Arabidopsis thaliana: one gene and its partner. The protein of the gene in region 1 interacts with the protein of each later gene in a pairwise test. Each region holds a gene or a part of one and is shown in the gene's direction. Other genes may lie near its edges.

What was found. Proteins that work in one complex are often made in the same cells at the same time.
Region 2: the proteins of DSS1(I) (region 1) and AT1G75990 interact in a two-hybrid assay, tested with the Arabidopsis thaliana proteins (one study listed by BioGRID).

What each region holds. Positions count from the first base shown.
Region 1 is NC_003070.9:24,052,122-24,055,875, reverse strand, and holds DSS1(I) (deletion of SUV3 suppressor 1(I)), read left to right. Parts: upstream 1-1,967; 5' UTR 1,968-2,033; exon of another isoform or gene 2,034-2,123; 5' UTR 2,124-2,163; coding exon 2,164-2,257; intron 2,258-2,480; coding exon 2,481-2,603; intron 2,604-2,958; coding exon 2,959-3,089; 3' UTR 3,090-3,514; downstream 3,515-3,754. Other genes in the region: AT1G64760 (O-Glycosyl hydrolases family 17 protein), read left to right, coding at 1-16, 464-963, 1,046-1,656; TUA1 (alpha-1 tubulin), read right to left, coding at 3,580-3,754. UniProt on the Arabidopsis thaliana protein: Subunit of the 26S proteasome which plays a role in ubiquitin-dependent proteolysis.
Region 2 is NC_003070.9:28,525,002-28,528,755, reverse strand, and holds the start of AT1G75990 (PAM domain (PCI/PINT associated module) protein), read left to right. Parts: upstream 1-1,907; 5' UTR 1,908-2,037; coding exon 2,038-2,116; intron 2,117-2,211; coding exon 2,212-2,402; intron 2,403-2,514; coding exon 2,515-2,652; intron 2,653-2,739; coding exon 2,740-2,876; intron 2,877-2,966; coding exon 2,967-3,132; intron 3,133-3,299; coding exon 3,300-3,539; intron 3,540-3,620; coding exon 3,621-3,754. Other genes in the region: AT1G76010 (Alba DNA/RNA-binding protein), read left to right, coding at 1-48, 142-251. UniProt on the Arabidopsis thaliana protein: Acts as a regulatory subunit of the 26 proteasome which is involved in the ATP-dependent degradation of ubiquitinated proteins.

The sequences.
Region 1 (3,754 bases):
GTGGTGTCAATATCACGTGAGTTTGTCTCTCTTCCTCTCTGTTCTGTCTCAATGTTATTGTTATTGATTGGTTGTAGTGTTTGTCTAAACGTCAAAATTAACATTCTTTGTGTTTGTTTGTCGAAACCTCATAAACCCATGGTTGTTTAGTTTATGACATTGCCAAATGCATAACCATGAGTGAGTTATGTCTATAGACAAAATGTGTCTAGCTATATATGTTTGTTTCTGAAGATTGGATGTTTAGGGTTGATTTTCAATGTCTGGTGAAATCTGTGTTGTCTGATTATGAAATCAAATATCTTTTAACACTACTGTCAAATGCAGAACCTGTTTCCACTAAAATGTATTTATATCTATAAAAGTCAAATCTTTTAACAGTACTGTCAAAATGCAGAACATGTTTAGAGAAAAATGTGTTTACATGTCTCAGTGAAGCTAATCACTTGTGGATGTGTTTCAGGTTTGTAGCTGTTGGGAATGAGCCATTCCTCAAATCATACAATGGATCGTTCATAAACCTCACATTCCCTGCACTTGCGAACATTCAAAACGCTTTAAATGAAGCCGGACTAGGAAACTCTGTCAAAGCAACAGTCCCTTTAAACGCGGATGTATACGATTCACCAGCAAGCAATCCCGTTCCATCTGCAGGAAGATTCCGTCCCGATATCATCGGTCAAATGACTCAGATTGTTGACTTTCTTGGCAAGAACAATGCTCCCATCACAATTAACATCTACCCTTTCTTAAGTCTCTATGGGAATGATGATTTCCCACTCAACTACGCCTTCTTCGATGGTGCTGAACCGATAAACGACAACGGTATTGATTATACAAACGTTTTCGATGCCAATTTCGATACTTTGGTGTCGTCTTTGAAAGCTGTTGGTCACGGAGATATGCCAATAATCGTTGGAGAAGTTGGTTGGCCAACAGAGGGTGACAAACACGCTAATGCAGGTTGATATCTGACCTTCTTTAGATGGATTTTTATCCTTTATGAAGTGTTTTAGTTTTGATTTTGAAAACGGTTTTTTCACAGGCAGTGCTTACAGATTCTACAACGGGCTTTTACCGAGGCTTGGAACAAACAAAGGAACTCCATTGAGACCAACCTACATTGAGGTATACTTGTTCGGATTACTCGACGAGGATGCAAAAAGTATAGCACCGGGACCGTTCGAACGCCATTGGGGAATATTTAAATTCGACGGGCAACCAAAGTTTCCTATAGATCTTTCAGGTCAAGGACAGAGTAAGTTCTTGATTGGTGCACAAAACGTGCCGTATCTACCCAACAAGTGGTGTACGTTTAATCCAGAAGCCAAGGACTTGACAAAACTCGCGGCTAATATAGATTACGCCTGCACTTTCTCTGATTGCACGGCGCTTGGATACGGATCTTCTTGCAATACTCTTGATGCAAATGGAAACGCGTCGTATGCGTTTAACATGTTCTTTCAAGTGAAGAATCAAGATGAGAGTGCTTGCTATTTTCAAGGTTTGGCCACCATTACAACGCAGAATATATCTCAAGGACAATGCAATTTCCCTATTCAGATTGTGGCTTCCTCAGCCTCTTCTTTTTCTTGTTCGTCTTATTCTTTGGTTGTGTTGATCGTTTGGTTTCTGTTATCAGGGATGATGTTTTGAGGTTAGATTGAATTTGTTGAACTTAGTGAGGTTTTGTGAGCCTAATTGTTTTCTTACAGATATATATATTACAATGATTCTTTTGTCCATGTTCTTAGAAGTTGAATCCTAGATAAATCGGAATATCCAGATACTTGTTCTATCGATATTTTAATACAGTTTTACACTACAGTTTTATTTTACAAATTCATTAATGTTACAATTTCTTTTAGCAATTAAAAAATAAATAGAAAACCATCAAATTTTACAAATTCACAAAAAGGAAAACACGGTCGAACCGGTTCTATACAAAAAGAAAAAACCTTCCCTTTATTATTTGCTTCTTCTCTTAAGAAAAACAAAAGTTCGCTTACTCTCTCGTTAAAGCTCTCAGAGAGGTTAGGGTTTCATCATTATCAATTCCATGCTTTTGCAATAATAACTTGGAAAATTTTATCGAGTTTTCGTCTTCCTCTTCTTCTTCTTAGGTTATCTCGATCTGGTTGGTTCCTTTAACAATCTGTAACTATGGCGGCAGAACCGAAGGCAGCGACTGCTGAAGTAGTAAAGATGGATCTGTTTGAGGACGACGATGAGTTCGAGGAATTTGAAATTAACGAAGGTAAAATTTTTGTTGTTATTACTTGTTTCTTCTTCGATTTTTGAATCGATTCATCATCGGTTTTATAGTCTTAACGATGAAGCTACGATGCCATAGATATAAGAGCGATTTTCATTAGCAACTGATTGATAGATACAGGCAATGCTTTATATGGTTGAATTGAGAATTATTTGTATGAATTGTATCAGATTCTGATTTTAATAGATTTTGATTTGCAAGTTAGTTGATTCTTCAGATTTAACTAGTAGTTGTATTGAAAGGATTGATAAAGATGGACTAGTGTATGAGTTGAGTAGGTCTGATATGAAAACGAATCTGTTTGATGTCAATTTCAGGTGTGAGATAGGTTGATAGATCTTTTTTCATATAGTTCTAACAATGAAGCTATAGTCTCATACTTACTAAATGGATAAAAGAGCAGTTTTTTTCAGCAACTTATTGATGATTAGGTTTAGTCTTAATAGTCAACGCTTCATTTACTAAAGCCTAAAGGTTATTGAGGATTTGGGAATTATTTGAGGGCATTGAGTAGCCTAAAGGTTTAACAGATTTTGCTTTGTGATTTTACTAATAGTTTTATTGAAAGAATTGATAAAGAGGGTTTCTGTTTGTATGAGTTGTGTAGTTGGATGTGGAATGGATGTTTTTGCTGTCCTTTTACGGTCAAAGTAAATACTGATGGATCTTTTTATGTTGGGCAGATTGGTTGGAGAAAGAAGAAGTGAAGGAAGTTAGCCAGCAGTGGGAAGATGACTGGGATGATGATGATGTCAATGACGACTTCTCACGTCAGTTAAGGAAGGAGCTTGAGAATGGTACTGACAAGAAATAAGGTCGAAGATTGTGAAAGACAGGTCTTCACATTTAGGAAATCTTGGTTTTCTTTTATGATCTGGAACTTTGTTTGTACTGCATCCTTTGGTTTATGTTATCGGTTCTGCTTTTCCTTTGCACATTTTACTATTCCCTGGATGGAAATTTCTTATCTTTGAAGATGATAAATTTAAACTGGTAAGATCATCATCTTCTCTCAACATCCATTGCGGTGTGTTCCGTATGGACATGGATTAGTTACTAACTTACTATGTACATTTTCTTACAAGGATCTTTATTAGAGCGTAAACGGTATTTGAAATGCCAAAAATCCTTCAAACTATGTATTGAGATGCACTAGAAATGCAATCCTTTAGTAAACACAAATGAGAAATAAAAGGGGAGAGACCCGTAAACATCACAAAATAACTGTAGAGATCACATTCACAAAGACATAATTACTGTACTTCACAAGAAAGAAACAAGGGAACACACACTCTTGTGTCTTTCTAATACTCATCGCCTTCTTCGTCGTCGTCCTCCGCTCCTTCTCCACCAACTTCCTCATAATCTTTCTCGAGGGCAGCAAGATCCTCACGAGCCTCAGAGAACTCTCCTTCTTCCATACCCTCTCCTACATACCAATGGACAAAGGCTCTTTTGGAGTACATGAGATCAAACTTA
Region 2 (3,754 bases), 4.5 Mb from region 1:
ATGGTCCTTCTCAGGGCCGTGGTGGTTATGATGGTCCTCAGGGTCGTGGTAAAATAAATTAAAACATTCTGTATTCTTTTACCTGGTTCTTGAACTGTAATTGTGTGAAGAAGCCATGAGTTTTGAATTGGTTTGATGCAGGGCGTGGACGTGGACGTGGAAGGGGAGGACGTGGAAGAGGAGGAGGACGTGGTGGTGATGGTGGTTTCAACAACAGATCAGATGGACCACCAGTCCAGGCAGCTGCTTGAGAGTGAGGTTTCTCTTACACAAACATAAAAAGAAGAAAAAAGCCCAAGTCGTTGGATGTTTTTTTTCTATCTCCTTGTTCTCTCACTTTCTTTCTATGTTTGCTTCTTCTGTCCATCAAGAAGACATGTTTGCCATAAGTGTATCTCATTCCCCTTCTTTTTTTTTTACTATCCATTGATTGACAGTGTTTTAGCTTGTGGTCTGTTTTGTTTAGAGTCGCTTAGGAATATATGTTCAATTTATTTTATGGTTGGTCGTCGTCTTGGGTTTTTGTTAGAGAAGAACTACTGAGGCATCCTCTTTTCTTTTCTTTTTTCCTCTGTTTTGTAGTTTTGTTTAGGTGAGAGTGAGACACAGTTTGGACAAATTACCTCTTTTCTTTGGTTATCAGTTTTAATGTGATGGAACAGTTGATTCTTTTATTTCCAACAAGTACCCTTGCAAAGTTGAATTCTTATATAACATTATAACGAAAATAACTCACAAATGGAAGCAGATTTACACAGAGAGAGAAAAAAAATGGAAGTAGAAAGCCAGAAACCATCGATTCTCGAATTTGGGTTGATCTTCAAAATTCTAATGAGACAGACACAACAAAGGAAAGGAAGCTCATAGACTCGTCGACACCGTATTAACAATAGATTTACTCGATAAAAAAATGTTAGCGCCGTTGCCGGGGATCGAACCCGGGTCACCCGCGTGACAGGCGGGAATACTTACCACTATACTACAACGACTTTGATGTTCTAATTAATGACATTAATAGTATTAACAAACAAGATAATATCTGCCTTCAAGGGAAAGAAAAAAATAAAATGGAAAAATATAATTGGGAAAAATGTTGTTTTATATACGAACTTTCAAAAAGTGGCCATTTTATACGTGAACTCTGACGTCGGCCAAAATAAATATGAAAAATACGTTGACCAGCCATTTTAACAGAAACAAAACGTTGACCTGGCCAAAATCCCGAGACGTTAACTCGCATTAACAGACCCAATTAACCCCGTTAACAGCACGTTAATAAACTCTGTTAAAGCCGAAACGGTGTCGTTTTGTTCTAAACGAAACAAAACAAAATCCCCAAATCGAAAACTCAAACCCTAAGTCTTCATCTTCCCCAAATCGATTTCTTATATCCAACTTCTCTCAATCTATCTTCTTTGAGCTTCAACTCCGACAGAAGACTCTGCTACAACAACAGCCGGCAAAGCTAGAACTCCACCATCAAACTCCATCTCCGGTTTCAGCTACTCGTCGTGGTGGAACAGGAGCAATGTCGACTTCGCCTTCTATTGCTAAGGCAATCACAACAAGATTAATCGAAGAACAAACACGATTTTACCAATGAGAGAATTAGGGATTTGGTTTGAGAGAATTAGGGATTGAGTTTTCGATTTGGGCATTTTGATTTGTTTCGTTAGGTTTGAAACGACGGCGTTTTGGTCTTAACAGAATTCATTAACGTTCTCTTAACGGGGTTAATCAGCGAGTTAACGTCTCGGGATTTTGGCGAGGTCAACATTTTGTTTCTGTTAAAATGGCTGGTCAACGTATTTTTCATGTTTATTTTGGCCGACGTCAGAGTTCACGTATAGAATAGCTACTTTTTGAAAGTTCGCGTATAAAACAACATTTTTCCCAAATATAATTTGGTAATTTCTGTCTAGGAAAAGAAAAAGGAAAACATAAGAGTACTTATGTGTGCGTTAAGCCCTGCTCTTTTCAAATCAATTTTTAATTTACCTTCGTCAAGAAGAAGACGACTTGAGATTTGCGAAAAAGATGACTCAGGACGTAGAGATGAAAGATAACCAAACCCCAACGCAATCCGTCGTCTCTGCTCCTACCTCCACGCTACAGAGTAAATCTCTATCTTATGCTTCAGTTTCTCTTAATCTCACATTGCTAGGTTTGTTTCAAAATTGAATTCGTTGTACTGCTTTTTTTTTTCTCCAGATTTGAAGGAGATTGCAGCTCTGATTGATACTGGATCTTATACAAAGGAAGTCCGTCGTATTGCTCGTGCTGTGCGTCTCACCGTTGGACTACGAAGGAAGCTCACGGGTTCCGTGATCTCTTCTTTCCTTGATTTCGCTTTGGTTCCTGGATCTGAAGCTCACACTCGTCTCTCTTCTTTTGTGCCGAAGGTATGTGTAGCTTCACTTGTCCACTTTGATTACGAGCTTATCTAGGATCTGTAATTAGATTCATGTATTAGTGTTTGCCCTTAATTTGATGGAATTTATAATATTGGTACAGAGTGATGAACATGACATGGAAGTTGATACAGCATCATCGAATTCCCAAGCTCCTCCTAAGCATCTACCTGCAGAGCTCGAGATTTACTGCTACTTCATTGTTCTTCTTTTTCTCATTGATCAGAAAAAGTACAACGAGGTTTACTTCTTCTCTATCTCTCTAACTGACATACTTTATTTATAAATCTTGCTGTGGTCTTCATTGTTTTACTTTCTTTGCTTTCAGGCCAAAGTTTGTTCTACCGCTAGCATTGCTCGCCTCAAAAGCGTAAACAGGAGAACCGTTGATGTCATTGCTTCCAAATTGTATTTTTACTACTCCTTAAGTTACGAGCTAACTAATGATCTTGCAGAGATACGTAGGTGAGTACAAGTTCACAGTCATCTTTCAACTTTTATCATATTAGTTCAACACTCAATTATCTTATTAACTTGTCTCTCTTTCTGTTGCAGTACTCTTCTTGCTCTTCACCATTCGGCCACACTGCGCCACGACGAATTGGGCCAGGAAACACTTTTGAATCTGTTGCTTCGCAATTATCTACACTACAACCTGTACGACCAAGCAGAGAAGTTGAGATCAAAAGCGCCTCGATTTGAGGCACACTCTAACCAACAGGTAACCCTTTCATACATTCTAGTTTCTAATTCTAAGTTAATTGTGATGCTTACTTATGCCAACCTCTCTGATGCTTACTAATGCCAACTTTTCACTGTGAATTTCTCCAAACTACATTCACATGTTTCAACTAGAAACGATACTCATCTCGTTATATAAATTTACAGTTTTGTAGGTACTTGTTTTACCTTGGCAAGATCAGGACGATTCAACTTGAGTACACCGATGCAAAAGAGAGTCTCCTCCAAGCTGCTAGGAAAGCACCTGTTGCATCTCTGGGATTCAGAATCCAGTGCAACAAGTGGGCTATCATAGTTCGGCTGTTGTTGGGTGAAATACCTGAACGATCTATCTTCACTCAGAAAGGAATGGAGAAGACTCTTAGGCCATATTTTGAGCTGACCAACGTGAGTTCAATCTTTTTTACATTTCTAACATATGCTTTAATTAAGGTTTTCTTGCTAATACTCTTGTTTAAATTTTGTAAGGCTGTGAGAATTGGTGACTTGGAGCTGTTCGGGAAAATCCAAGAGAAGTTTGCCAAAACATTTGCGGAAGACAGGACTCACAACCTCATAGTCAGACTCCGACACAACGTGATCAGAACAGGACTGCGCAACAT